Linked DNA regions of Lepisosteus oculatus. The protein of the gene in region 1 purifies or fractionates together with the protein of each later gene. This does not show direct contact. Links are inferred from orthologs where the notes say so. Each region holds a gene or a part of one and is shown in the gene's direction. Other genes may lie near its edges. The genes, in order: lrrc41 and drg1.

What was found.
Region 2: the proteins of lrrc41 (region 1) and drg1 purify together in Homo sapiens (affinity purification with mass spectrometry; 3 studies listed by BioGRID and IntAct, counting the BioPlex papers as one, with this or other methods). This does not show direct contact. The link is inferred for Lepisosteus oculatus from reciprocal best matches to the Homo sapiens genes LRRC41 and DRG1.

What each region holds. Positions count from the first base shown.
Region 1 is NC_090704.1:3,308,824-3,323,499, reverse strand, and holds the start of lrrc41 (leucine-rich repeat-containing protein 41), read left to right. Parts: upstream 1-8,446; 5' UTR 8,447-8,652; coding exon 8,653-8,752; intron 8,753-9,202; coding exon 9,203-9,289; intron 9,290-9,747; coding exon 9,748-9,818; intron 9,819-10,205; coding exon 10,206-11,103; intron 11,104-11,378; coding exon 11,379-11,609; intron 11,610-11,995; coding exon 11,996-12,157; intron 12,158-12,416; coding exon 12,417-12,515; intron 12,516-12,972; coding exon 12,973-13,095; intron 13,096-13,319; coding exon 13,320-13,395; intron 13,396-13,988; coding exon 13,989-14,208; 3' UTR 14,209-14,676. Other genes in the region: 5-methylcytosine rRNA methyltransferase NSUN4, read right to left, coding at 461-737, 1,128-1,252, 1,454-1,614, 1,818-1,972, 2,366-2,796, 3,600-3,692; uqcrh (cytochrome b-c1 complex subunit 6, mitochondrial), read right to left, coding at 5,072-5,104, 5,544-5,705, 6,174-6,209, 7,466-7,513. UniProt on the Homo sapiens protein: Probable substrate recognition component of an ECS (Elongin BC-CUL2/5-SOCS-box protein) E3 ubiquitin ligase complex which mediates the ubiquitination and subsequent proteasomal degradation of target proteins.
Region 2 is NC_090717.1:729,454-745,008, reverse strand, and holds the start of drg1 (developmentally-regulated GTP-binding protein 1), read left to right. Parts: upstream 1-8,301; 5' UTR 8,302-8,523; coding exon 8,524-8,562; intron 8,563-9,640; coding exon 9,641-9,764; intron 9,765-9,910; coding exon 9,911-10,086; intron 10,087-10,184; coding exon 10,185-10,254; intron 10,255-11,445; coding exon 11,446-11,615; intron 11,616-12,193; coding exon 12,194-12,324; intron 12,325-12,579; coding exon 12,580-12,747; intron 12,748-13,651; coding exon 13,652-13,774; intron 13,775-15,034; coding exon 15,035-15,134; 3' UTR 15,135-15,555. Other genes in the region: patz1 (POZ-, AT hook-, and zinc finger-containing protein 1), read right to left, coding at 3,223-3,286, 4,118-5,325. UniProt on the Homo sapiens protein: Catalyzes the conversion of GTP to GDP through hydrolysis of the gamma-phosphate bond in GTP. Appears to have an intrinsic GTPase activity that is stimulated by ZC3H15/DFRP1 binding likely by increasing the affinity for the potassium ions.

The sequences.
Region 1 (14,676 bases):
GTCCAACATATTTTTAAAACCTCTGCAAAAAATGACAGCGTCTAGGGGCTGGTCTCTCTAGCAAGAGTTTGTACTCTTCCACAAGAAAACAAGAACACTTTCTACAGGAAGAGTCTGTAGGAAAAGAGCTTGTATCTTCACTAGCATCAACCAGTCCTACCAAACAACAGCCAGAAAAAACAAAATCAGCTTGTTTTTGTCTGATTCAATATTTATAATAAGTTTTTAATGATGCATGACCAGTCTTTTTGATTGAATACAATTCATTACTGGAGGAGCTGGAATACTTGAACACATGTATTTTATTCCAACAGTTAGAAGCGCCCTGTGGAGACGACTACAGACTGACGATCACAGGTAAGCCCCTGTTGTCCAGCTGCAGCCTGTCCCCCGCCAAGGCCGTGCTGACCCTCACAGTGAGTCCGGCTGGGAGAACGCGTGCCCGGAGCAGCTCCGGCCTCTAGCTGACACGCTGCAGCCTGCACAGGTAGATGGGGCCGAAGTTGGCTGCGAGGTGGGGCAGGACCAGCTCGCCCAGGCGCAGACCCTGGGCGAAGTGGAAAACGTCCCGGAAAAGGCCGGCCAGGGGCGCCAGGTCCACGACGCGGACGCTTATCCCCAGCTCCTCCTGGGCCAGCTGGGCCGCTCTCTCCACCACGCACTCGTTCTGCAGCGGCGACAGCGTGCAGGTCGAGTACAGGACCTCCCCTCCCGGCCGCGCGGCCCGAATCCCTGCCCTGAGAGAAGGCAGCCGTCAGCAGCGCCGCCGGGGGCCGGAGGCCGGAGCCGGTCTCTTCCGCGCCCTCCGCGGGGTCAAGGCGGGAGAAGGACAACGACTGCCTGGCGAGCCACAGCGCTCGCGTGGTTCACTTACCTTAAATTCAAGTTCTTGGGAGTGTAGCGCAAATCCAATGACAAAAAGCTGGTGGTCAATAAAAAGTACTGGAAAGATTTTAGGAAACAGCGGCCTGTTTCCTGAAAAGTACAACAATAACAGGAGTATTTCGAAAGAAAACTTGACTGTCTGGAGATTTCGAGGCGTAAAAATGTTTTGACAACCCGAATCTGCAAAATGTTTAGTGGAGAGAAAAGAAAGAGGCACTAGAGTGTGTAAGTGTCTCACTTACAGCAGGAGTTCTGTCTGGAGCTGTGGCAGTCTCTGTCTCTCCTTGGTCCTGGACTTCTTGAATATGTTATTGTCCTCCTCCAGCAAAGAGTGTCTGTCTGTTGTGCAGGGCACATCCACAAGGACCTGGGCAGCCACAACACAGAGTCACTACAAGGTCTCTGCCAGCTTCACAGGGAAGCACATCTTCTCTAATGACAGTGAAGGAAAGACACCATTACATTTACTTTTGCCAAAAGCAGACTTGTCGATTATGTACCACGAGATCTAAATAAGTGCTGCGTGTCATAAGGCCCCAGATCAGGGCAGTCTGATCTTATTACTCACCCTGTCAAAAGTCTCTCTCTCGAGCTCACCCCACTTCCTGCCATCGAAGGAAGTGATGCGCACCTTGTCTTCGGAGCAGTGCACCCTGGGAATGTAACTCTGCAGGACCCCTCGGAGGCGAGCAGTGCGGGACCCCGAGGCGTCGTTGGCTGCCAGACGCCCTGTGAACACACACACGACAGCACGTGTCCGTGTTTCATCACGGCTGGGCTAAAACGACACCATCAATCACTCACACTGATATATTCCCTGAAGGTTCCTTCAACGTGCATTTAGTTTCCCACATAAAGCTTACAGAAACTAATAGTTTTCTTGGTCTTTTATCTCCCGGACGTCATGTGTTGTATGAAGGAAAAATGATTACAGCAGGCCTGTGTCTGGAGCAGAGCCAGCGTCTTCCCCCCTGGCGCGGCGCACAGGTCCAGGACAGTGTGGCCCTCCTGCACGTCCAGAGCCAAAACGGGCAGCACCGAGGCCGCGTCCAGCAGGTAGTAGCCCAGGAAACCACTGCGGTCAGGCCTGAGAAAACACCACCGCAGTCATGTTCTGCACTAGACGTGCAACTGTACCTCCTTCAAAATAAAGACCGGTGTCAATCCAACCATCAAAATGCGGCATGTTTCACCTCCTCCTGTTTCACCTACGCCTTATGTAGCAGAGCTATGCCCTACAGTCTACAATAACTTTCTTTTTAAGTCTCCCTAGCGCTGACACTTTGAAGACTTCCTTTCTGATCCAGCTACATTTCTGGGGCAGTTTCGTGAGATAAGATGCAGTGAATGCCCCACGTTAGAGACAATCTCACCACTAACGGCTATCTACTGTGATCAGTGCTGGCGACACAGAGCAGGCCACTGTCACCACAAAGACAAGGCTACGGTCACAGCTGGTGCATGGTTAGAGATTTCTCACCTTGCAGGCCTGAAACGCGTGATGTCACCCTTAGGGAAAACATAGCACTTGATATTTGGACTGAGACTTGGGAATCTGCCATCCTGTAGTGATCCTGAACTCTGGGGTTCACTGTTGGATTCCGGGGCTCCAGCGCACGGAGGTCCGGCGACTACCGAGGGGTCCCGACTCGTGCCTGGCCCGTCCACACCGGGCCCTGCGGCACAGTCTCTCCTGAAAGCCTCCTGGACGAAGTCGAACGCCCCCTGCTGCTCCAGTCCCGCCACCACCTCCTGCGCCGTGGAGAAGTTGTTGACAAGAGCTCCATACTTCTGCTCCGACAGCAGGCTGGCCCGAACTGGAGGCCACTGCTCTGCAAACTGGGTGCCGTACGTCATGTCAAAGATCTGCAAGGCCAGCCTGGTGGAGGAGATCTTGGGTTGAGTGGCAGCCTGTCGGGGGAATGGAGACCCTGGACTTACAGTTCAGCACCGATTCCTATGACAATAACATGAAGCTAAGAATCATGCAGAACCAGATGCAAACACACGTAGAGGTCCTTATGTCATTGCTTACTGTCCGAATGACCTTAAAGCGTTTCCACAAGCGTGCTCTCATTCCAAATTTGAGAGCGGCACATTTGCAACGATGCTGCTTTTTAAATGTCACCCGTTTTCCCTATGACGACTATAGCCTGCTGGCGTTTATAACACAACATACGCCCATTCTAAGTCCTGAACGAACCTGGCGCGCATTCATGTACACTTTCTGTGGATTTTGATGTTTTTTTAAATAAAAAAAAATACTCAAATATATTGCATGCCGATACAAAAGCATTCCCTGTGTTACCGTTAATTATATGTACAGTATACGTGAGCTTACTTTAGGTGTAGAGTGAATTTTGATTTTGCTACAGTAGACAAACGGAAATCACTTGAGAATCAGGGATAGTAAACTAAAGAAATCGCCGGTCTTGGATGGAAATAGACATTGAGGCTTACAGTTATTTTTGACTGAGAAATCAATCAAATATATCATAGACATTAAATTAGTCATAGTAAACGACCATAGCTGTTCTGCCTAAATATTTTCGTTCTTTCGCGCAAATATCATTAAGATAGCAAGGGTATTTATCTGATTAATTCGAGTTTAGTGCGGGTCCAATTAAACCTGTCTGCGCTTCGTTTTGCTGAATTCGAAACAGAGAACACTTCCTATTTCAGCGGCATAAAACGTCCTCTGAGGATTATATTACCCATTTCTTCTTCACTCGATTTCTGCAAGGAATAAAATGAGGCAAACCCTTCAGTTTCCGAAGCAACACTCTCGTGTCTGTGAGCGCAGCCATATTGAATGTCACAGTACAAAATGCCCCGGGAAACACGATCTTCCGCAACGATCGGTCCGCCGGGTTAAAGTTGAGAGTTCCGAGCTTGGAAATTATTTTTTCTCCTCATTCACTTACTGCCTTACATATGGACACATAAAACAATATATGTCACTGAGGAGAAATGTTCAGTATACTCTGGTTAAATTCTTAATACAAGTGGTACAGTTGTAAAGGAACTCACTCCTCTATCTTATCTGCAGTGCTGGGGGTGCTTCATTCAGTGGTAGGTGAAATGTCCTTTCCTTTATATATATATATAATACTTTGGGGTCTTTTGGAACGATAAGATCTATGCAGATGCAAATCCTTTTATTATAGATGTTGCAACAGTGTAACATTTGAGAGCTCCAGAAATCTGTCAAGTTTGAGATTCAAAAGCACTGGCCACAATAAGTCTACCAATACAAGACACACGAATCACACAAGGTGGTGCATTAATAAGCTCATAAATAATGAAATGCTCCAAGGTGTAAGATGGCATCATTCTCTTAGTCTCACTTAATTGTAATCCATGGAAGATATCAGGTTTCTGTTGGGATGTTTTCAGAGACTTTTCCCCACTCTGAAAGCTTAGGCCTTTCAATGTCAGATAAAACTCCAGATAAGCAACAGGATCGATGCACACAGTAATGCAGACCAGCTAAGATATCGGTCTGTAGCGTATCACCCAAAACCTTCATCGCCACCCCTGACCACCTTTCTGTACTGGTTCAAGATGCTTTCAGGAAGGCAGGACCCATGATCTCTCAGCTCTCACTTTATCTTCTGCCACCTTCATCCCATATTGCACTGACTCAAACACAACATACGTACAAGCGAGTTCTTATTAATGCTTCCTATCCACACTGTATATTTTCTTTCACATGGTTTGGTGAGCATGTGCACTGCTCTTCCTGCTTGTATTGGCCTCGTTCTAATTTGACTCACCTTATAGTTACTGTTCCTGCTGCTCTCACTCCTAATTTCATTGTCCTGGATCTTAGTCACCCTGGGTATGCATCTTCTAAGCAAATAATATGCAGTGAGTGTCACGTACCAAAAAAAATCATTCAAAACTGACCTTCATAACACAAGTAAGCGCACAGTCAGTCCTTCAAATGTTGTCTCTCACATGTTTTAGACACAGGAAAGCAGATTCAGAAAGAATGTCATTTTATTCACATGTGGACACATACACAGTTAGCTGAGGTTTTCAAACATTTCCTGAAACTGCATGGGGAAGAAACGGACATCAGGAACTTTTCTGATCGGCGCCGTTTTCTTATTTAAATACAGACTTCACAGCTGTATGACATCTACCACAGAAACTGGAGCTTGACGCCAGAGCTGTGCCGACTTCACTTAATCATTTTGAAGGCCTTGTGCGCCACCTACAGGGTAAAAAACAAAATCTGTTATCAGTGCACAGAGCAGATCTTTTATTCAAACTTAAAATGTATTCACATTTTACCACATAAAGTTCCCCTTCCAGATATGCTGGAGAATTTTTTAGGGTTCCATAAACGATAATGTTTGATGGCAATAAAAACAGAAAATCTCTCTTTACAATCAGGTAAGTAATAGTGCGATCAGAAGACAAACAAAAAACAGCACTTCGGAGCTTATGTAACGATTATGGGTTGGTCTGAAACTGATGGGAATGTGTGTCAGGTGTTCTTTCCGATATCAGAGCTGCACGGCTCGTCCCGTTCCGAGGCCCAGCTTTCTGCGGGAATGTTTTGCTCTGATCGCTCTTATTAACGAAATCCCTGGCTGGGAAAACACCGATCAGCGCGCGGCTCGCGCTGGCGGGCGAGCGAAGCGACTCACGCAGTGGTCCCTGGCGTGCAGGAAGTCGAAGAGCTCCTCCGTGCACTCCTCCAGCGTCTGCGACCGGGAGCTGACCCGCGCCTCGCAGGCCTCCAGCTTCTCCCGCGCGTGCACGCAGTGCTCCGTCTGCTCGCACTGCTCCCGGATCGCCACCAGGGGGTCCTGCAGAGACACGGGGGGGGGGGGGGTCAGGGCGCCGAGCCTGCCGCAGAAGGAGACAGCCCCCCCCATCCCCAGAACCTGGCTGGACCAGGCTTGAGCCTCTGGCCATGACCCCCTCAGACTGTGCTGACGAACAGTCTTTTAAAGAGATAAACTGGTTTCGCAGAGACTCCAAAAAAAAGAGCTACGCGAATTGTAATGATTCTTCGGGAAAATCCCCCAAATGCACACAACTCAACATAAGAACGGTCTCAAAAGCAGAAGCCAACTACTGCTTCTGTTTCCCCCCACCCCATTTATAATAACACGCCAGCTACACCATTATACCAGCGTGTCGGCACTCCAGAGGCAGACCGAGAGGGAGAGAGCCACACAAACTGCCCCCCTGGGGGAAAGATTGTGGAAGAACTTCCGGCCATCAATCAGCGTTCACCCCTGGAGTAAGGACAAGAATGGAGGCATACTCACCACCAGTTCTTCTTCCTCCTCCTCCTCTTCCTCGACCTGTAGAGAAAGTGTTAAACAATTAAGAGAAAACAACATCTGAGATCTTCACCAACATTTTTCTTCCACACCCACAGAACACTTGCTGCAGACAGTGCAGCTCCACCTCTCAGCCCACGACTGACAAAAGGGGTGGTGATACAAGAACATGAAGTTCAGAAATGGCAGGAAGCCGAGTCCTGTTTTGACCACATTTAGACTGCTAGCAGCCCATAGACCCAAGGATCCCATCCAGCAGTTCCTTTAAAAGAAGCCGGGTATCAGTATAAACAGCACTGCTGGGTAGCCTTCTGCAGACTCCTACAACACTGAGCATAGAAGTAGCTCATGGTTTCAATAGTAAATATACATCCCTGCAGTTTTCTTATTTATTGGTGTGCTCCGCTGCTGAGAGTCAATGTCCTTCTTTTTCCCCCATTATGCTTCCTGGGAGACACTGACATAACCCAGAACTGAGCAGGGTTCTGAAGCAAGGCCGGGCCTGATGAGAACTGGGAAGGAAAGCCCAGCTTCTGCAAGCAGGCTGGGGGACCAGCAGGGGGCGCTCTTCACTGGAATGTCAAACACCAGGGGCCCAGTAATGGGGGGCAATGGGCTGTCAGAGGCGTTGGTGCAATTCAGGCCAAGTGCAACAAGACCATTTGGGATGAAAGGCGCTGTACATGTACAAGGCATTACTGAAAAAAAGCATACTTTGTTCTTTAGTCAGATGTCATTCGAAGCATGCAGTAACGTATGAGCGAATGAGCTTTCAAAGCGGATAACAAGCAGTTGGATGAGATGTGCAAAATCAGATCTATGAACACGTAATGGTACCATGAATTCAACATTAAAATTACCATCCGGAATGCAACAGTTCACACTGTACCGGTCACGAATAGACCACCCCACTGATTTTTTGTTGTTTTGCATTTAGTACAACTTTAGCTTTCAAACAGCAAGACTTTCGGACTACCGAGAAAACGATCACAGCCCTTTCTTCTCCTTCCCACTGACAAGGGATCAAACACATCAAACACAGGGAAGCCGGCGCCGCTCTGATGCTGCCAGAGACAGCGGGGCATCCTAGAGGCACTGAAAAAAAATATATTAAAAAAAGAAGAGAGGACTAGCCCCTCATTCGGCATTTGAACGCCGTTTCGTAACCAGGCCTTGCCCGAGAAGACACTGGACGCACGCACTTCACGGACAGCCTACAGAACATCTCTTCCGGTCATTTTAAACTATTTTCATTGAACCGCATCTCAGATGAGTACCTCGTCGGGCTCTCCGTTCGTAAGCATCTTCTCCTCTGTCAAAACCATGATTACTGTGGGGGGTGACAAACCGGTCTAAATCACGCTCCCTCTCCACCACAACCCGAGTGCGTCTGGAGGACCTTCAGGTCACACGCCGGAAACTACGAACAACACTACCGGAAGCTGCGATATTGCCAATAGGGCTTTTGCACAACCGGCATTCTGACGTATTTCCGCCGTCTTCCTTTCCTTGCTCATCGGGCATGAAAATGGTATCAATTTAGAATTCCAGAATTTCACGGTGTTTCACCTCAGTACTGCTCTGTAATAATTATAAGGAAACTACCGCACACTTATTTTGCCAATATGTAAAAAAAAGCCAACACGTGGCCTTTGGAAAAAGTTTCCTTTCATAAAAAGTCGATTAATTTTAAAGGTTCAAATGCGTGTTTTCACAAATCCGGGCATGTTTTCAGGTATTCCCTACTGTTTAAACACAACATGGACTGCCTGATTATACAACATCACATCCACAACAAGATCATCTTAAAAAGAGTTGTTTTATTTAAGAAGTGATATTTCTTAAATAATAAAATATGCAAAACGTGTTGGTCTGAACTCTGTAATTCGCAAGTACTGATAAAACAGTTACCGTCATCACACACATATAAACATTAAGATGAGCAATTTATTCCATAAAGTTAATTACTTACCTTAAAGTAAAACCTTATTTGCATTCAGCTCTCTCTGATCTTGTATCAGTGTATATCGTGGCCAATAAAGTGCTCATATCTTATCTATACCCCATTTATAGTTATCTATAGTTTCAAAACACAATAAAAATAAATTCACTATACGTTAAATACACCTTTACTTTAAGGTATGATGAACTGAATAATTCTGAACCATATTTACACTGCCACGAAAGTGTCGCACGCAATGGCATGGTAATTTGAGAATAATAACATCGTTTACAAACCCAAACACCCCTTTTATTTCAGATAAGCGGGGGGAGGAGTCATGTGACGTAGGCGGAAGAGGAACACGTGTTTGCTGGAGTCAGTGTGTGCAAACAGTGTTGACTTGGGAAGAGAGTGATGTACTGTACTGTAGTGCTGGTTAGAGGGGAACAGAGTATACGTGAGTTTTCTAGCTGAGGTCAGACATACAGTATGTATATATTATTATAAACGTGCCGTGCACTAATGGAGAACAAGCATGAAGCAGATGTAGCCGCGCCTCTTTTGAAAATATGTATCAAAGCTGTCAGCAAAAACATGCGCGTACTGGAAAAGCAAGTCTGGGGTAAGAAACTGTATCAAACAGAAAAGCGGAAAAAATAGATCACTTTTATTTTCTTTAAAGTACTTGTGATTGAGACACAAGGACTTAAATCTCTGGGTGACCGTTTATTGCTGATTCCGAAAACGTAGAGGCGGTCCTACAACTTGTTTTCACACGAGTTTTCCTCGATAGAAAAGTGTGAGAACTACCTGCAACTTGAGAAACGGTCTAGCTGACGCCATGACGTAATGCAAGTGATCGAAATGTGCTCAGAGTTGCGGATCCTCGGCGTTACCTTCCCGTCGTAAACTTCACTGTGTGAAGCGGCGTTCGTTCAAGTTATTACACATCTACAGAGAAGTAAATAACAAAAAGGGTAAAAGGGTAGGACTTGGTGTATTCGTCCACTTATAATTGATGCGCTTGGTTGTTTTCTGTTTCCTACTGATCGCCCCTGTGCCTTCCCCACAGACATACCGTCTTCTCTTATTGAAGAGCTGTTGCCGCACTTGAACATATTCTACCTGGAGAGGATCGAGGACGTAGCTGTTCGCAAAGGCACGTACAGACGGGGCTGCTCTGCGGGCTGGGGCACGCCGTGGAGTGCAGCTGTGCTTTATCATAGGAGTCAAGGCTGAGGAAAAACATGCCAGCACACAGCACCTTACCCAGAGCAATTGCAATGCATTCATTCTAAGAGGACCGTGCTAAACACTTCTGTAGCTACTGTATGTGTGTTGCAAGTTTGTCAGCAATTCACTGCCTTACACCCACACTTGCTAACTCTGTCCTGTCCTGGTGCATGGGAACGAGAATATTGACAGCCCATGGGAGCCGTTTTGCATGTATTTTATTTCATTTTATTCAATTTTCCTTTTCTTTCACTGTTTTCGGTGCAGCTGTGGTGTTCTCGACAGACCAGACTGGATAAATAAAGGATTATCGCAAAGCAGTCTAATCAGCGCAGGTGTCGCGAGGCATCTAAACGAAATGTTAAAAGCTGACTTTCTTTTTAGGCCTGTCCACTGCTTCTGTGTGGTTTGGACTTTGGATGGAAGTGGTCAAAATCAGGCCTCCTGGAAACAAGGTCAGACCCACTTGGAATCAATTATTTTAAGTGAATTTAGACTTTGTAAAAAGATAGATACAAAATTATACATAGGGAGCAGCGAATTATGCACTTTTCAAAAATGAAGACACATTTTCAGTGTGTTTTTGTTGTAGGAGTGCTTAAAATTTGGATAGAGACACTCTGTACTTCCATATCTGACTAATTTGAAGCAAACAAGCTTTAAAGTGACTTATAAACAGGTAGTACAGCTGCACATCCTTCTCATTTAGAGAGACATCTGTGAAGCAGCGGTTTCTGCATGCAGGTCATGTACAGCAGTCTGTACAATACACGCAGCCCCATGTAAATCCACCCCCTCTAATACAGTCTCTATATATTAATCAGTTAATTTAATTTTTTCAGCCAATTAAGGACTGGCGACAGAAATTCCTGGAGCGTCTCTTCCACATGGTCACTTTCGGTCACTTCAGTGAAGAAGAACACCCTCGTCTGCGAGACCCCCGTTTCTCCCTCCTCTCGCTGGCGGCCAAGTACGTCAGGGTCCTCATCCTCTCCAGGTCCCTGGCGCAGACGTCCCGGCTGAGCTCGGAGGAGTTCCGGCCTGTCCTGAAGACCCTGGAGGCCACCGTCACGCAGCTGAAGCTCCGGGAGATCAGACTTTCTCTCTTCCACAACGACTTCAGCCCGGTGCTCTTCGTCATCCATCGCCTCCTCCACCACGGCTCGGTCCAGACTCTGGTCATGAGTAAATGCAGCATCTCCAGCCCCAGTCTTTGGACTTGGATCCTTCGGATGAGCGCTGGTCACCAAGATATCAAGAAACAGGAGGGCAGTCAGTCGTTTTCATCTCGCACTCAGGATCTGGAAGATGAGAGGCGTTCCGATTTTGGACCAAACACATCCGGTGCTGGAACAGGCCTGTCACAGGAGGCACAGGGCTGCAACCAGGAGCACAAGAGTGCAGCCAGGAAAAGGAGACTGGTAGATGACTTGTGTGCAAAAGCCTTGAAATTACCTCGGCTTGACATCTCGGAGCCCAGGGGTGGCGCTGAGCCCGGCGGATGCAGTAGATTCGATGGAACCCCTCATTTACCACTCCGCCAGTGCGTGGACTCTGAAATCCTGGATCCTGGTTGCACTCTCTCCTCTTTTCCCTCCCTTGTCTCAGGGAAGGGAGGTTGCCCTGTCAGAAGAATCACTGCTCTGGTGCTTGACGTATGCGATGAAGTCATCTCCCGAGTTCTCTCGCCCCTTCTCTCTTCCTGGTTCTGTCTTTGCTCCCTAAAGGTGACGTGTGAATGTGAGTAGGGCAGCTCCAGCGTCAGAGCCAAGGACCGACATGTCAGTCTCCCCTGAGCAAGGCTGTCCCAGTTTTTCTAGACCGTTGGCCTTCTGTATGTATTGAAGAGGGCTCTGTCACGTACAGATGCTAACGTTTGTGGGAGGGAATAAGCTCTCGCCATATGTTTGGTTATAAACGGGGAAAAAAAGAAAAGAATGGATTTTAGGATCTTTCGGCTCTCTCAGCCTGCATCCCCATGTTGCAGTTTCTTACCCGTTTTGTGCTGCCTGCAGGGTCCATAGAGGAGCCCAGCCTCTTGGAGATGGTGGAAGCCTTGCGCCTGCTGTACCAGAACCCAGCCTGCTCCCTCTCAGTGCTGTCCATCACCAGCGTTTGCTGCAGAATATCCGTGGCAACCCTGCTGGCCCGCCTGCTTTCTGCCTGTCCTGGGCTGGAGGCTCTTACGCTTGGTTTCTATGGAGCAGAGGGGAACAGCAGCTCCTCTCACCAGCCTGCACCCATAGGTAACGTATGTCTTTCTCAGGGCCATTCGGAGCGACAGCACTGTGCTGCATCACATGAAGTACGCCCTGTCCAGCATGTCGTAATGTTTCAAAGTTAGGAATTGCGTGCCCTTCGCTAGTCAACAGAAACCAGACAGACAAAATGTAATAATCAAAATGAGCTGGTGTTCTCCAACAAGCCTAATGTTTCTGGTTGAAAATTCGTAGTTGGGATAGAAAATAACTAGCATACTTAAAAAAAAAATAATTTTAAATTGAGAGGCAAACACACGAGCCACGTATGTTTACTGTACGGGGCCTGCTGAATATTTTGAAGACTATTTAAACCGAGGGCAAATTCACTCAAACCACGAAACCGACACTGGATTATGGCCTTTGTTCCCCAGTGAGCTCTGTAAAGACTCTGCAGGTGGAGTTCCCAGTCGAGCCTGTGCACCTTCAGGGCTTCGTGACCGTGCTCCAGGGGGCGCAGAGCCTGACCAGCCTCCACCTGAAAGGGCTCCGCTGCAAGACCCCCCAGCTCAGCGCACTGCTGCTAGCTCTGCCAGGTACCAACAGCCTCTGGTCCTCTGTCGCCCTGCTGCTCTGAATGAAACATGGCCATTAGACACCGCCCTGCAGGGGGAAAGAGGTTCTGGGGTTAAATTACTCGTGCAGTTCCAGGACCTGGAGTATTCACAACTTCAACCCCTTCAGTGTTGGCATGTCACCGTCCCTTGTTGTTCGATTGAGTATCCCAACCCTGCAGCTGCCTATATAACGCAGATAGGAGACTGAACGGAAAACTGTCCTGTTTGTGTGTGGTAGGGTCAAACCCCCGCCTGCTGACCCTGTCCCTGGAGGAACTCTGCCTCTCGGGCTGTCAGGATGAAGTGCTTCACCTCCTGAACAGGTCTGCTCTGCAAGGTAACGTTCCCTCGGTCGGCGACAAGTGAAGAAAACTTCCTGTACGACTGTGGATTTGAGCTCACCACCTCTGTGTACGGACAGTGTCAAAATGTTATTTGCCGTAGCTCTCCCCTCAACAATTTCCCACAAGCACTTTATTTAACGATACAGTCAACAATATTGACGCACGCTGAAGGTTTCGTTACCCACATTTTTAATTTTGCCCTTTTTTTTCCCCCGATGGACTTCTTTCATGCTGACATTGGTGCTCATGTTCATAAACAGTCATTTATGGGTTTTTTGTTCAAAGTCTTGCTGAATACGTTTACCATTTAAAAAATATCCCGACATGATGTTTCTTTAGTAATTACAGCTGAGGTCTTTGAGGAAACTGAGGCATTGATGGGCCATAGCAAAAAAAAACAATCGTAATTTCTGACGTCAGCCGTCAGTGATTCATTTTTTCCCATTTTAGAGGTACGCTTCACGGACTGCCGCCTGTTTGAAAGGAACAAAGAGGAGTTCCTGGGCCGCTTCGTCGACACAGTAAAGGCACAGACATCCCTCAGATCAATTTCTGTGTCAAAAAACCGCCTGGGTGAGCTTTGGAATAGTTTTTCCATTTCGCTGAAGCTGATACCCTGTCTTCTTTCAAGGAAACTTTTGGATGAGATCCCTGGATCAATAACTACCACATAAGCTAAATGGCTCGACAGCCTCCTTTCGTTTGTGACTGTTCTCAGGTTCTTTTCCCTTCCAGACTGAGGTTCTCCTGTTGCACATTTTAATCCTTTTCTGTTTGATTTTTTTTTTTCCAAACAGGTAATCAGGGCCTGATAGCCTTTGCTGACCTGTTTTCTGAAAATTCTCTGGGCAGAATTCAGCACTTAAACGTCAGGTAATTATATTATTCCAGCCCTGGTCCTGGAGGAACTGTGTGTCTGCTGGTTTTCATTCTAGCTGAGCTCTAAATCTGCAGTGCTGTCGATGATTTTAATTGATCTGCTGGCTTTTTTCAGTTTTTAATTTAGTTTGCTTCTTCGGTCAGTACTGACTATCGATAATACCTTACACCAGCACACAGAAATGTACACGGCCCCAGTTGATCCATTGACGAAAAACAGACACAGGTGGGAGTGATGATGCATGTGACACCCATAGTAGGAATGAGACAGTCACAATGAGCATTTTTTCCTACTGCAGAGATTCCGTTTGGTTACATTTCAGGCAACCCATTTCAGGGCAGTTCTGAAACTCAGAAAATGGTACAGGGTTGATACTTATCACTAATCCCATTTTACCTTTAAAGAACTGAATTTCCATACTTGTACGGTATAAACACACCAAAACTGAAATCAGTAATTTATATACTGTATATTTAAAACAAACTTGCTAAACAGGATTATTGTAGAGCTCTGCAACAGATGCTCTAACTTTGACAGTGCTGGCGAATGTCAAGGAGCTGCGTGAATTCCTGTTTTATTTGCACAGCTCTAACTACATCCTGCCCGACGGGCTGCTGGAGTTTGGGAGGTTGCTGGGAAGACACCCCCCCTCGCCTCATCTGAAGCTTGATGTGCGAGAGAACCCCCTGGACAGAGACCCCCAGAAAACCGAGCGTGCTATGCGGCAGCTGCAGGCACTGTGCCACGTGACCAAAGACTGCTGGAACTCCAGGACCACCTTCGCAGACCACATCAGTGTCATGTGACCAGAGCAAGCTGGGCGGGCGTTTTTATACCCACTAATTCACATTACCATTTGAGATCTTGGGAAGTGCTCGTTTCTGAACCTAACAACCCCAACAGAAATGTCAGACGTGCTCTTCAGTTGACCGTTTGGAAGACTCTTCCCTTTCGAATCTCATTATACGCACAACACCGCGGCGCTTACAGTTCTGATTTTTATTACGGTGCCATTGCGGGACACAAACTATTTACACCACAGAGTTGAAGCTTTAAAAAAAAAAGGGGGGGGATGGGGGTAGGGGCATTTCCTTTTTGCCCTCAAAAAAGAAACATTTTAAGTCCAAATGAGATGCCTCTGTCTTTAAATTAAAAATAAAGGTGTCGGAGTTCCCATCTTCCCGTTCTGCTTTCAAAGTGTAAGGATAACGCGGATCCAAGTCCAAAGCGTGAGTGGTCCTTCCCGGGGAGAGGACTGTCGGAGAGAGCAGCAC
Region 2 (15,555 bases), on another chromosome or scaffold:
GCTCTGTGTACTTGGTCTTATACTGCACACCTGAGCTATTCACACTGCTCTGTGTACCTGGTCTTATACTCCACACATGAGCTTTTCACACTGCTCTGTGTACCTGGTCTTATATTGCACACCTGAGCCATTCACATTGCATTGTGTCCTGACACTTATACTACATGTTCTGCACACCAGCTGTGAATTGCAAAGAGACAGTAAACTGAGAGCTGAGGGCACAAGGATACTTGGGAGTATTATTTGCCTTTTCTCCCTCTGTAGGGCAGGAAGTGCACTGTGCCTTTAAGGACTCTCAGTGGTACAAGCTGCCCTGCTCTAAACAGAGCGGTCACCATGGTAACTATCACATGCTGCCCTTTTATCTGCTCCGCCCTACCCCCCCCCCCCACTTCTGTCCCACTCACCCCTGCCTCCTCCTCCTCCTCCCTCACTCTCCATGTCAACACATATAACCCCTTCCTCCCAGAGCCGGAGTCTCTCCTGCGACCCCCCCACACCGCGCCAGAACGCAGGTCTTTATTCCCTCCACAAGAGCAGAAGGCTGTGGGCCACCTCACTGATCTTCAGCTGCACCAATTAATTAATTACAGCTTCCGGCAGAGGAGACTTCCTGGGGCGGATCAGCTGGAAGGATCGAGGTGTTCTAGTACAACAGTGCAGAGAACTGGTCCACAGAGCCGAAAGTCCAGCCCGGGCTTTTGTTACATCCACGCCAGGCAGGTATACAGGATCATAGGGTTTTTATATAGCGCCTTTCAAAGCAAACACCTCACACCGTCTCTCCTCCTCCTACTATAGAGATAAAGTTATAACGGAAATCTACGAACATGTTTAAAAGACTCCAATCCTTCTTCTCTGTGCTGCAGAAGATACAGGTTTACAATCCTAGCTCCCCAATGAGCAGCCGGTCGGCAGTGATGGGGCAGCATCTGCGTCAGGCCCTGCGTGACCCACAGTGCTACCGCGCTGTCCCTCCGGTTGTGTCGGACGCCACCTGCGCAGCCAGGTATGGCCGCGCGGAGCGTGTGAGCGCGCACGTGTGCCTGGAACCGGCGAGCACTGCAGCCCACCCCCCCCGGCCCCCCCCGCCAGCCGGGGTGATGTCAGCGTGTCTTAATGGACAGCCAGCGGGACACACCCACGCTGCACTGCAACTGCACTGAAATGGTTCCAGACACACAACCCTTAACCACCACTCCCCCCCCCTGCTGTAAAAGCACCTACACACACGGATACTCCACCCCCCAGCTCTGGCCTCTGCACACTACCTCCCTCCCCTGTTCCCCCTCCCCTCTCCTAGCAACATGCAGAAACTGTCCAGCCCCCACCGCCACACACACACAGTTACACCCTCCCTGCGGCTCTGACTCTGGCCTCTCCCTCCCGTCTCACCCCCCCCACAACAACAACAACAGCGTCCCTCCCCCCCACCCCTCCACCCCTCCTTTTCCTCCTGCAATCCACTCAGCCTTGGAAACCATTTTGTGTCCCTGCAGAATTACAGCGGCTCTGGGCTCACAGACCCCCCCCCCCAGCACACACAGACGCGGGCCCTCCGGCTCTGCGCGAGCTCCCCAGGACAAGTCAGCGACGGCCAGCTCGAGTTTCTGTCACAGCCAGCCTGCAGACGCGCTCTCCCTGTAACCTTGTGCTGAGCCCAGGCTCTGCAGCAGCTTGACCGGAGAGCTCGTGTGCTCAGAGTACAGCCTGTGCCTGACATGTACACTCCAGTCTAGGGCAATAAGCACTGCCTGGGGAAACTACCCCTGTACCGCGTTGAAACTGCCCCAACCGAACCAGATCCAACCCAAAGCTGGGGAGACCCAGTCTTTGTCCATCTGCACATTTGTGGGGTCCCCTCAGTTTATGACTGCACGTCTGCACAGCTGTGGGGACCCTGTGTCTGTCTGTCTGTCCGTCTACACAGCTGTGGGGACCCTGTGTCTGTCTGTCCGTCCGTCTACACAGCTGTGGGGACCCTGTGTCTGTCTGTCCGTCCGTCTACACAGCTGTGGGGACCCTGTGTCTGTCTGTCCGTCCGTCTACACAGCTGTGGGGACCCTGTGTCTGTCTGTCCGTCTACACAGCTGTGGGGACCCTGTGTCTGTCTGTCCGTCCGTCTACACAGCTGTGGGGACCCTGTGTCTGTCTGTCCATCCGTCTACACAGCTGTGGGGACCCTGTGTCTGTCTGTCCATCCGTCTACACAGCTGTGGGGACCCTGTGTCTGTCTGTCCGTCTACACAGCTGTGGGGACCCTGTGTCTGTCTGTCCGTCCGTCTACACAGCTGTGGGGACCCTGTGTCTGTCTGTCTGTCCGTCTACACAGCTGTGGGGACCCTGTGTCTGTCCGTCCATCTACACAGCTGTGGGGACCCTGTGTCTGTCCGTCCATCTACACAGCTGTGGGGACCCTGTGTCTGTCTTTCTGTCTGTCCGTCTGTCTGTGTCTGTCCACACAGCTGGGGGGCCCTGTGTCTGTCTTTCTGTCTGTCCATCTGCACAGCTGGGGGACCCTGTGTCTGTCCGTCCGTCTACACAGCTGTGGGGACCCTGTGTCTGTCCGTCCGTCTACACAGCTGTGGGGACCCTGTGTCTGTCCGTCCGTCTACACAGTTGTGGGGACCCTGTGTCTGTCTTTCTGTCTGTCCGTCTGTCTGTGTCTGTCCACACAGCTGGGGGGCCCTGTGTCTGTTTTTCTGTCTGTCCGTCTGCACAGCTGGGGGACCCTGTGTCTGTCCGTCTGCACAGCTGGGGGACCCTGTGTCTGTCCGTCCGTCCGTCTGTCTGTCTGTGTCTGTCCATCTACACAGCTGGGGGACCCTGTGTCTGTCTGTGCCTGTCCACACAGCTCTCTGGGAAAGGAGCTACATACCTGGAACTGCTACTTCCTGACTCTCTATGAGCGATTCGTAACAGCAGTATAACACATTAACAACTGAAACTCAGGTAGAGTGTTCTTTTTCACTGGATTAATTCCGCTACCTCTTTTCCTCTTTGAGAAGTTACGTCTAAAGCTGCTAAATAAAATAAAGTAAATAGAGAATATAGTTTATTATTGTATCATTATTAACGGAAGTCCTGCAGAAGCAACATTTCCAAAAGTTTCCCATTTCTAAGGAGGAGCTGCTGCAGACGCCCCTCAGACAGCGGGAGGGGGACGCGGCTCGATGACCCGCGGGAAGGAGGGCGCAGCTGGCAGGGCGTGTCCGCGCTCACCTGGCACTTGTGCGGCCTCTCAGACGTGTGCACCTGCTTGATGTGCCCGTTCAGGTGGTCCGGCCTAAACAGAGAGTCGGACACAGGAGCACAGGGTTACAGGCGCCTCCCCTCGTCCGCTGGACAGCTCCGCCGCTCTTCCCCACACCAGGCCAGGACCCCGGCCCCCCCTTCCCCAAACCGGACCTGACGCCCGGGATCCATCCCCGTTCCCCAAACCAGACCGGGACCCGGGATCCCCATTCCCCGAGTGGGCCTGGGACACAGCCGGGCGGAGACGCTCCAGGAAGGGCAAAGCAGCAACACTTCCGAAGCGAACGAGATCCGGGGGGTCCCCGTTCTGGAACTGGGGCAACGGCAGCCCTGGTTCCGAGTGGATCAGACCCCCCCCCCCCCGCTCCAGGAAAATAATCGTTGGGGTTAACTGTGCAGGGGAGGTCAGGGAGGGAACTCCGGGCCTCGCTCTTGAGAGGACCGGGCCCCTTGGCGTCACCCACACGGAACGAAGGCAGGAGCCCCACTCCGGGGCACCCCCCTCTCGCCGGCCTCGGCACAGCCAGCAGCCACCCTGACACGAGACCCAACCCGGACCCTCTCGACAGAGCGGCGCAACCCCCCGAAACCCCCAGCCCGGGTGAGAAGGGCAGGACCTTCCACCCGGCTCCCAGCTCCCAGGAACCCACCCCCCGGGCATCACTGACCGCCCGAACCACGAGCCCGCGCGGGCGCACCGGGCCGGGCCTCAGCTGCAGCAGCGGGGCTCCGTGGCGCCGCCCCTCTGGGGTGTGCAGGGGTGGACCCCTGTCCCCAGCCCGGAGGAGTCCCGCCCGGCGCTCCCCTTGCGGGGCAGGAGCCCGACGCGCCCCCCCTGCGGGGCGGCCCCCCCCGGACTCACCTGGAGAAGCCCTTGCCGCAGCTCTGGCAGACGTAGGGCTTGCCGACGGAGCCGTCGTGCGAGCGCACGTGGTAGGACATGCGGTCCTTGCGCTTGAAGCGCAGGCCGCACACGGGGCAGGCGTAGGGCTTCTCCCCGGAGTGGGACAGCTTGTGCCGGTTCAGGTGGTACACGTCCCGGAACACCTTCCCGCAGACGTCGCAGCCCACGTGGCGCCGGGTCCGCTCCCGCTTGCGGGCCGAGTCCGCCGGGCCGGCGCCGTGCAGCCCCAGCCCGTTCTCCAGCAGGCCGGCCGGGGGCGGGGCCGCCAGGCCGGGGGCGCCCCCTCCCGCCGCCCCCCCCGCCGGGGCGCCCCCGTGCTGCGCCTCGTGCTGCCGGAGCCGCGCGGCGTCCGTGAAGATCTTCCCGCACAGCCCGCAGGGGAAGATGCCCAGGTCCTTGGGCACGCCGGCGCCGCCGAAGAGCAGGGGGTCCATCGCCGGCACCTTCTTGGGGCGCCCCCGGCCCCGCTTGCCCCCCACCCCGGGCTGGGCGCCGCCCCCGCCCTGGAAGGGGTTCCCGGCCAGCTCGGGGCCGCCCACGGGCAGCCGGTCCACCGTCTGCAGGGAGGGCATGACCTGCTGGCCGCCCGCTCGGCCGCCCCCGTCCACCTCGTGCGCCGGCCCGCCGCCCCCGAACACCGAGCCGTTGGCCACCAGCCCCGCGCCGTTGGACATGTCCAGGGGGTAGCCCAGCTCGGGCCCGCCGGTCCGGAAGAGCGCCAGGTCGCCGCGGGCCGGCGGCACCAGGATCTGCACGTTGGACTGCTTGATGACCTCCTGGCAGATCTCGATCACCGAGCGCATGAGCAGGAACTTGGCGGCCGTCATGAGCTCGGGGAAGCACTCCAGCCGCACCACGATCTTGGACGTGTAGGCGAAGTCCAGGATGTCTTTGAAAACTTTGGGGCTGATCGTGTGCATCTCCAACTCCTTCGTCTCCCCGTCCCCTTCCGCCTGACAGCTGAACACCGACTCGAAGTACTCGCTGCACGCCGCCAGCACCGCTTTGTGCGCGGGGAAGCTCTCCTCGCCGACCCGCAGCAGAACGTCGCAGAAGCGGCCTCCGGTGCGGCGCTGCACGTTGAGGTTGTGGAGCATCTCGGCGCTGTGCTTGCTCACCTGATACGTGTACGACGAGCTCCACGGCTGCTCCGCTATCCTGTCCATGTTGCCTTCATTCAAGAGCGACGTATCTCGGCGCTTCGAGGGGGGAAACGCAGGAGCAGAAGTGGGAAATTTAAAAGAAAGAGAGGAGGAAAACAAACCGACCCAACTCGCGGAGAAATCCGGCGAATTTCTCTTTTTAAAAACACACGGCACACGCACCCTCCGACACCTTAGCCCTGCTCGCGTCTCTTTTGCATCTAAAAAAAAAATGTTTGCAGGGAGGAAAAAATGGCAGCCCCCCAGCTTCCTGTGAACTTTGACCTTTGTTTCGGGGGGGGCGGACCAGCCGGGAGGGGGGTAGGGGCACTCGGAAAGCGCTGTGTTTTCCGCGCACCAGCCGGGGGGGTTGAGAGAGGGGGGCGAGGCGGCGCGGGTCGGACTCTCCGGTAGCCAGCGCCTGGACACGGCCGCCGGCTCCGGGCTCGTCTCTCCCCTCCATCCCGGCCTCCGTCTCCTCCCCCCTCCCCCGCGCGATTCCCAGGCCTGTTTTTCCAGCGCGGATGCCCCCTCCCACAGAGGCAGCGCGACACACAGCTCGGAGCGCCGCCGGGATTGCGAGCTCGCAGGGATTCGGCTCCTCCGAGTGACCCGCTAGTAATAACAATAATAACAGTAATAATGATGATAATAGAGACGGGGGTGTGAAATAGTTGGCGAATAAAAGCCGTTTCTACGGTTAACGCTCTCAGCCAAATGCACCGCCGATGCAGAGAATAGAAACTGGATTTTAGGGACCAGAGGGGCTGTTGTTTTTAAAGACCCCGCTCCAGCCCGACCGCGGGGCTGCGCGCGTTTCGGACTCCACTCATCCAGATATCATAAATCCGACCCCCCTCCCGCTTTCCCCCCGTGTCAGGGGGAGTTGGGGGGTAGCAGGTCCCACAGCCGCCCACGGGGCAGCACCGACGCAGGCGGACGCGGGATCCGCAGGTGTGGGCGCTGGGGGGGGGAGGAGCGGTGCATTGTGGGGTGTGGGTGGGTGGGTGTGTGAGTGTGGGGGGGGTAACTCGTAAGTGTACATTCTAGCTTTTTACCGTTTAGCTGTCAGCCGGGGTTCTCGAGTTACAGCAGGGCAGGGAAGCCTCTGTGCTCATTAACTCTTTCGCACTTGTGTGTGTGTGTGTGTGAGCCCTGCAGACGCCACAACAGCCCCCTGCCCCAGGGGGTGTACGAGCACCCCCTGCCCCTGGGGTAAACAACAGCCCCCTACCCCTCTAGGGTGTACAAGAGCCCCCTGCCCCCTGGGGGTGTACTTGAGCCCCTCGCCCCCTGGGGCAAAAGCGATCCCCCTGCCCCCTGGGGGTGTACATGAGCCCCCTGCTCTCTGGGGCAAAAGAGAGCCCCCAGACCCCAGGAATTTACCTGCACTGGTGTGCTTGTCTACCTCTTGGGACGGGTGCCTTATATACCCCTGGGGGCAAGAAAACATTCACTAACGTTGCGGACCAGAGGAAACAACACAGCAGCGGAATAAGAGCAGAAAGTGTCTCTAAATTACAGGTAAATCCAAACATTCCCACGGCACCTTCCAAACATCACACGTGTGAAAGGTCAGTGAACAGAAAAGAGAATATATTGGGGCGGAGCAGTGGCTCTGTGGCTCAGGATCTGCGCCTGTGGCTGGGAGGTTGCCGGTTCAAATCCCGCAGCCAGCAGAGGAATCCTACTCCGTTGGGCCCCTGAGCAAGGCCCTTCACCCCAGCTGCTCCAGGGGCGCCGTATAAACGGCTGAACCTGCACTCTGACCCCCAGCTTCTCTCCCTGCCTGTCTGTCTCATGGAGAGCGAGCTGGGGTCTGTGAAAAGACAAATTCCTAATGCAAGAAATTATAAAGGGTTAGTAAAGTGATATTATTATTATTATAATAGACAGTCCATCCGAGCGAGAAGTTCAAGGAGAGACGGAAAGTGGCGAGCGAGTCAGTCTGATGGGAGAGTTCAACACACAGCAGATGTGTGGGGCAGCAGCTGGCAGGAGACTGCTCTGGCACCACTGCTGAAACGCTCCTATTGCCTTCTGCTCGCCTTGCACGTGGAATCAGCTGTTAATCTCCCAATTATTCCCCTCCTCCCTCGTTTCGGCGCCGAGCTGGGACCGCCACTCCAGGGACACGCTCCGCAGGCTGCAGAGGTGCTGATGGGGTCCGCAGAGCACCCCAGAATCCCCCCCTCCCTCTGCTGGCTCCCCGGGAGGGATTCGTCTTCCCAAAGTCTGAGCCACCGGCCAGTGGGAAGATCCCGGCGTGCTCCGCAAGCCGGCTTGGCTTCCCCATCGGATCCGAGTCGGATCGCACACAGCTGCAGGAGCAGTGAGGACTTGGGGTTTGGCCGGTAGGGAGATGTTGTGGACATGTGGACACACATGCACACAGATACACACAAGCACACACACGCACATACAGGCACACAGACACACACACGAGCACACACACGCACATACATGCACACAGACACACACACATGCACATACGTGCATGAACACACACGCACACAGTCTGACACATGCACACAGACACACACACAATCACACACATGCACACACACATACTGTACGCACGCAGGCACACACAATCACATGCACACACGTGCATGCAGACATACACACAGATACACACACAATTACACTCATGCACATAAATGCACACACAATCACACTCACTCATACACACACATACATGATCAGTTCTTGCACCTCCGAAGGTCCGTAACTGGTGACTTTCAGCAGGGAACTAGTTATGAAGTCAATTCAGCATGAAGTAAAAGCCTAACCTTTGTAGGTCTCAGTAACAGGGCCTTCACAAGCCTGTGAGCTGGGTGACATTCTCAGACCAGTTAGCCCCTACGTGAGAGCACACGTAGGGGGCTGGAGTTGTGCACTGTGAGGCACTGTCGCTCTTAGAGTCCGCAGACATTTCCCCCACGGAGCTGGGGGGGGTGCTGCAGTACCTCCTCCGCACCGCCAGGGGCGCCCTGTTCCCCCAGCGCCGCTGCTGCTCGCTGCGTGGCCGTGGTTTCTCGCGAGAGGCGCTCGCCGTGCCGGAGCCGGGCGTCTGTGTGTGTGAGAGAGAGGAGAGAGGAGCGTGGGGGGCTTGACAGAGGACCGAGCGGCTACCGAGTCTTCACCCTTCGTTATACGCGAGAACTGCGGCAGCGGCGCACCGGCGGGGAGGAAGAAGTTGGTGTCGGACCCACAGCCGCCATGAGTTTGCTGGCGAAGATCGCCGAGATCGAGGCCGAGGTGCGTGTGGACGCTGCAGGGCTCGGAGCAGTGCTGGCGGCCGTCTGATTTGAATGATTCCTGATGTCCTCCGGGTGGGGTCTGTCCCGGCGGGCCGGGGCGTAACGGCTTTCGAACACGGGTCCTGGTCCAAGCCCGGTTCGGAACCGGAACCGCCGAGCGAGCGGGACAGAGGGGTTCTCGCGGCGTCCGAACTCTGTTCTCGGACCCGTGCGTCTGCATCGGGGGGCCTGGACCCCCGGCGGCCTCGCGGCTGGAGAGCTCGGGTCTGGACGGCGGAACCGGAGCCCGAGTGACACACGCAGGCAGGGCAGGGCGACCACACAGGGCGCCGGGCCGGAGGGTGCTCAGCGCTACTGTCTCCTCTCACTGCGACTTGTATTGTTGCTGGTGTCGTTCTGTAAAACGCTTTGAGAAGTCACCTTTAAAGGCGCTGTATAGAATAGTTTATTATTATTACCTTTTGGGTCTGAGAATCTCATCCAGCTGCTTATTCCAGAGCAGCCTGCAGCATGGAGTGTGGAGCAGGCAGCCCAGCAGGACCCTGTGATCGGTGTTGAAACGGGACTGAGAATGTGTGTTCTCCCCTCTTCCCTCTCCTCTCTCCTCCTCTCCCCTTTCCCCCTCCTCTCCCCTTTCCCCCTCTCCTTTCTCCCTCTCTCCCTCTCTCCTCCTCTCTCTCCTCTCCCCTCTCCTCCTCTCCCCTCCTCTCTCCTCTCCTCCTCTCCCCCTCTCCTCTCTCCCCTCCTCTCTCCTCTCCTCCCCTCTCCTCCTCTCTCCCCTCCTCTCCCCTCTCCCCCTCTCTCCTCTCCTCCCCTCTCCTCCTCTCCCCTCCTCTCTCCTCTCCTCCCCTCTCCTCCTCTCTCCCCTCCTCTCCCCTCTCCCCCTCTCTCCCCTCCTCTCCCCCTCTCTCCTCTCCTCCCCTCTCCTCCTCTCTCCCCCTCTCTCCTCTCTCCCCCTCTCTCCCCTCCTCTCCCCTCTCCCCCTCTCTCCCCTCCTCTCCCCTCTCCCCCTCTCTCCTCTCCCCTCCTCTCTCCCCTCCTCTCCCCTCTCCTCCTCTCCTCTCTCCCCTCTCCAGATGGCTCGGACTCAGAAGAACAAGGCGACGGCTCACCACCTGGGCCTCCTCAAGGCGCGCCTGGCCAAGCTGCGGCGCGAGCTCATCACGCCCAAGGGTGGCAGCGGCGGGGGGACGGGAGAAGGTGAGGGCGCTGGGGGTCAGTCCTGGTTGATTCCACGCTGGGTCACAGGGAGGAGCTGGCCGCCCGGACCTGCGCCAGGCGTGGTGCTGGTGGTGCGCCCGGTCCCGCCGCCGCCCCGGCTCACCCGCTCCCGGTGTCGTTGGCAGGGTTCGACGTGGCGAAGACGGGCGACGCGCGGATCGGCTTCGTGGGCTTCCCCTCGGTGGGCAAGTCCACGCTGCTCAGCAACCTGGCGGGCGTGTACTCTGAGGTGGCCGCCTACGAGTTCACCACCCTCACCACGGTGCCGGGGGTCGTCCGCTACAAGGGCGCCAAGATCCAGGTGGGGCGCGGGCGCCGGCCGCCGGGAGGGAGGGGCGGGACGGGGGACGGGGGACGGGGGCGCCCCGATTGTGACCTCCGTGTGCCTCTGTGCTGCAGCTGCTGGACCTGCCGGGCATCATCGAGGGCGCCAAGGATGGCAAGGGCAGAGGCCGGCAGGTGATCGCAGGTGAGAGGAGACGCCCGCAGCAGGACCAGCTGAGGTCCGCGGTCAGGACCTGTGACCCGGGTCCTCAGCGGCGCTGCTGGAGTGAAAACGACGCCTTACTGTCACTTCATGCACGGAGTGCATCATCAGCCATATCACCTTGCAGCTCCCAGCTGGCAGCCCCACTGAAGCCCAGCAGGGTGAGCCTGGTCAGTACCTGGAGGGGAGACTCCTGGGAAAGCTGAGGCTGCTGCTGGAAGAGGTGTTAGTGGGGTCAGCAGGGGGCGCTCACCCTGCGGTCTGTGTGGGTCCTGATGCCCCAGTATGGTGACGGGGACACTGTACTGTAAGAAAGGTGCCAACCTTTGGATGAGACTTAAAAGCGAGGTCCTGACTCTCTGTGGTCATTAAAAATCCCAGGGTGGTTCTTGAAAAGAGTAGGGGTGTAACCCTGGTGTCCTGGCCAAATTTCCCCCTGGCCTTTACAGTCATGTCCTCCTAATAACCCCCATCTCTGAACTGGCTTCATCAGTCTGCTCTCGTCCCCACTGAGAGCTGGTGTGTGGGGAGTGTACTGGCGCATCACCCAGTTGGGCCTGCACACTGGTGGTGGTAGTGGGATTTCTCAATACCTGTAAAGAGCTTTGAATGGAGTGTCCAGAAAGGTGCTACATAAGTGTAAGGAATTATAATTATTATATTATTACTTCTGTGATGTTGGAGGTGTTGTGTCTCAGTGGACAAGCGGACACAATGACTCGCCTGAGTGCGATCCAGTCTCAGGACACAATCAGTGTGGTGCCACAGCTGGCTGGCCCGGAAAAACAATGGCTGCTCTTTGAGTGTGCTCTATCATTTCAGTCCACAGCGTCAGAATGTGGAGCTCAAAGCAGCTTGTGGCTGACAAAGACTCAGAGGGCTGCATTTGGGGTTACTGCCGAGGAGCTGAAGGACCTCTGTAGCTCCACACACAGTTAGGACCAAGAGAACGATAAAACACTTCAGCTCAGTCGGCGTTTTGGTCTTTGTTGAATAACTCTTGAGAGATGAGAACCGTTTCAGAAGGAAATAGGATCAAGCGTACAGACGAACAGACTTGGGAGTCTGGTCAGGCTTGAGCAGAGTTGTTGAGTTGGTTAGCTGAGTGTTGCCGAGAGCACGAGAGAGCTGACGGCCCTGCACTCTTAACCCTGGCCGCCCTCCTTCCCCCAGTGGCTCGAACGTGCAACCTGATCCTGATCGTGCTGGACGTGCTGAAGCCGCTGGGACACAAGAAGCTGATCGAGCACGAGCTGGAGGGCTTCGGCATCCGGCTCAACAAGAAGCCGCCCAACATCGGCTTCAAGAAGAAGGACAAGGGTGGCATCAACCTCACTGCCACGGTAATTCTGGGAAGAGGGAGGGTCAGTGTGTCCTGTCTCACTGCCACGGTACAGGGCAGGGGCAGGAATTCTGGGAAGAGGGAGGGTCAGTGTGTCCTGTCTCACTGCCACGGCACGGGGCGCGGGGCAGGAATTCTGGGAAGAGGGAGGGTCAGTGCGTCCTGTCTCACTGCCACGGTACGGGGCGCGGGGGCAACCACTGCAGGAATTCTGGGAAGAGGGAGGGCGGCGAATCCTGTTTCATCACCAGGAGACAGGGCGTGGAGTTGACCCACTGGTACAGTGGGAATTCTGGGAAGAGGGAGGGAGGGTGGGTGCGTCCTGTCTCACTGTCAGGAGATGGGGTACTATGGGTGAGGGGGAGACCAGGAGCTCAGCAGTGAGTCAGACTGGGTGTGTTGAGTGTGGAGGGTTCGATAATGTTCTTTTTTTATAACCCCGACAAAACATAGCTATAACAGCACTAATTTGAAGTCTCTTCTGAGATGTGATTCTCCTGCCTTTGCCTGGAGTTCTATAGTTGTCATTTCTTCAACACAGCAGAGCTCATATCTACGCACTCCTCCCCTTTCTCTCAGTGTACACAGAGTGAGCTGGACGCAGACACGGTGAAGAGCATCCTGGCAGAGTACAAAATCCACAACGCCGATGTCACCCTGCGCGGCGATGTCACCGCCGATGACCTCATCGACGTGGTGGAGGGAAACCGGTATGAGCTGGACTCCTGGGGGTGGTCTGCGTGGTCCCAGAGTTAGCAGTCACACCTGGTCTGGTAGAGTACAGGTCTCCCAGTGAACATGAACTCCTGCACCACCTGAACTCCTAATGACTCCACCAATCGGTTGCTGGTTTAATTCAAGGGCACCGCCAGTCCACCCAGGTGTAGATTTCTCACCTTGTCTGTCGATATGAAAGACAAACACGCTGATCTCATGTTCTCTGTGTGTGTTTCTCCCCTTCCAAGAGTGTACATCCCCTGTATTTATGTGCTGAATAAAATCGACCAGATCTCGATCGAGGAGCTGGACATCATCTACAAGGTGCCCCACTGTGTCCCCATCTCGGCCCACCACCGCTGGAACTTCGACGATCTCCTGGAGAGGATCTGGGAGTACCTCCAGCTGGTCCGGATGTGAGTCAGGGCGGGGAGGCCCGTGGAGAAGCCGAACTCCGGCTGTTCTGTGGCGCGGAGGTGCTGTATGGTAGCGGGGCTTCTGTGATGCTTCCTGGCTGTCCCGGAGGATCGTCCAGGCAGTGACAGCACATCCGCACGGCCGCACGAGCTCGATCGCGCCCAGAATCGCCGGGCAGTCGGAAGGGTGCCCCTTGGGTGACTCCCGCCTGGAATCCGGGGCTGTTTCCAGCCCGGCCGCAGCAGGGGTCAGGCGAGGTTGTTCGGAGTGGCTGCCACTCACCCTGACGATGGGCGATGGCAAGTGTCTCGTTCACTCCACTGACAGCAATAGGGGATGAAGTGGGGAAACTGCGGAGGAGCGCGCAGAGGTTAATCCTGACCGTGACTGACCAGTAGAAGGAAAATGAAGCCTTGTGTGTGGAGCGGCACACCTGAGGGAGACCCCGCAAGGGGGAAACACTGCTCCTTTTCTTTCTGCTTTTCAGCACGGAATCATCCTCACCTTAGAACAGCCGTTCTGCCGAGAGCCCTTTGTGCTGGAACTGTGCCCGTTCCCCGTCGCTGTGAAAACTGCACATCCTTGCTACCCACTCGTGTACAGAGCAGGAGCACAGACAGGGGTGCTGCTCAGTTACAGATAGGCCGGGGAGAACAGCGTTGTTGCTGCCTGTGTCCTGGGGGCTCGTCTACGCGCCGGTCGGGGTCTGGGCTGGAGGAACACGTGGGGGGGTAGCGTGTTCTCCTGGGAGGGTCTGGGCGAGGCCCCGCGTGCTGCACCGCTCAGAGCGGCCTTGCTTTTGAGAGCTGTTTTTTTTTTTTCCCTGCTTTAACCCTCGACGTACGGTACCCCTCGGCCGCAGCGAGGTATCTCATGCCCCCCCCTCCCGCTCTGTGTCCTCAGCTACACCAAGCCGAAGGGTCAGCTGCCGGACTACACTGCTCCTGTCGTGCTGCCGGACGACCGGACCTCTGTGGAGGACTTCTGCCTGAAAATCCACAAGAACCTCATCAAGGAATTCAAATAGTGAGTCCTCCCGGTCCGGGTTCGAAGCCGGGGAAGGTCGAAGGCCCCTCGGCCCGTCCGGCTAGTCGTTAACCGATCCCAGGGTCCCATCCGTCCGTTTTCTGGGAAGAAGCCGGAGTATATCGGCTTCAGCAACGTGGCTGCTCTGTCTGCGCGACGTTCCCGGTGAGGGACCGGCCCGGCGTGTTCCAGATGGGGGAAGACGGGGGCTGGTCACGAGGCCAGAGGATATGGACTCCAGAGCTGCAGGGATCCTGTGCTCTTGGGGGTCCGCTTAGAGCCCGGAAGTGGGATGAGTCAGTCATCTGCCCTCTGTTTTCCCAATCTTGAACCCTGGTGGACCTGCGGGTGTCCAGATGTCCAGGACTGGGCTCGGCCTCTCTGGACTGAAGAGACCGGTGAGCTCTGCAGGGTCCTGTGTGTTCAGCACTGGCCTGCAGTAGGAGGGGTGTGACACCCCAGGCTTCAGCAATAGCTCAGTTCAGTACCTGGGGTCTGGACCTGAGTCGACACCACAAGGCCCTGGAGCGGGGCGGCAGGGTGCTGCAGGGGTCAGCATTGGGTAGGGCTGGGCGATATGGCCAAAAACATTCTCACGGTAAATATTTTCGTATCAGTCGATATCGATAATTATCGCGATAAATGTCAAATCATTATTTCTTTCAAGTTTAAAGGCAGATTTTTTCTCCTGAGTGAAAGTTGAAGAAACCAGACAGTTAATTGGTAAATTAAACAACTCTTTATTTTAAGAACAAAACAAACTTGCCAAACAGCAGAAACATTAAATCTGTCAGCTGCCCGGTCTGCAACACGCACTCGCCCTCGTGCAGTATTTTGTGCGCATGCGCATATCATGCGCAAAGCATTAACATATATATCGAACATTTATCAAACTTTTGTTAAAATTATATCGAGGAAAATTATATCGCGATAATTATCGCCCAGCTCTAGCCCCTGGGCTGGATTGTCTTGGTGGAGTTTGCATGTTCTCCCTGTGTCCGTGTGGGTTTCCCCCAGGTGCTTTGCTTTACTCCCAAAAGACGTGCTGATTGGTTAATTGGCTTCTGTTAATTGTGAAGATTGGCCCTGGACTGTGTGTGCCCTGTGATAGACTCATCTCCTGGCCCGTTGCTTGCTGGGATAGGCTCCGGCTCCCTCACCACCCTGAATTGGAAGAAGAGGGTTAGAAGAGGGACGGATGGACCCGGAGCTCTGCAGTGCTTTCTGCTGCCTTTAACACCCCCTGTTTCATCTCCGCAGCGCCCTGGTCTGGGGCTCCTCTGTGAAGCACAACCCTCAGAAGGTGGGCAAGGACCACGTGATGGAGGACGAGGATGTGATTCAGATCGTCAAGAAGTAAAGGGGCGCCCCGCCCCCCACCCCCCCCACAAATTTCAACCTGGTCTACGACGTCGGGGGGGAATTTCACCAATACCTGGAAATAAAGCCAAACTGCTCAGTCTCAGTCTGGCCATCCCCATTTCTGTGACAGAAACGCCTCCTTACAGGTTGTACAGGATGCAGGTGCATGGACCGTGTAATTACAGTGTCTGAATGAGCTGCGTCCTGGGAAACCACCTTGGCAGGCAGCAGGCCCAGGAGGGCCCCTGTGCTGCAGCTGGTGAAGACTGCTTGGTTTGCTGTATTACAGGGGAGACAGCCTGAACTGTGGCAGCAGTCGGCTGGGTTCCTGCTGGCCCCAGTTCAGTGCCTGCTCTCCTGTACGGTGTGGCTGGGATGTAGAGGTGCCGGATGAATGCAGGACAAGCCTGCAGGGGGGG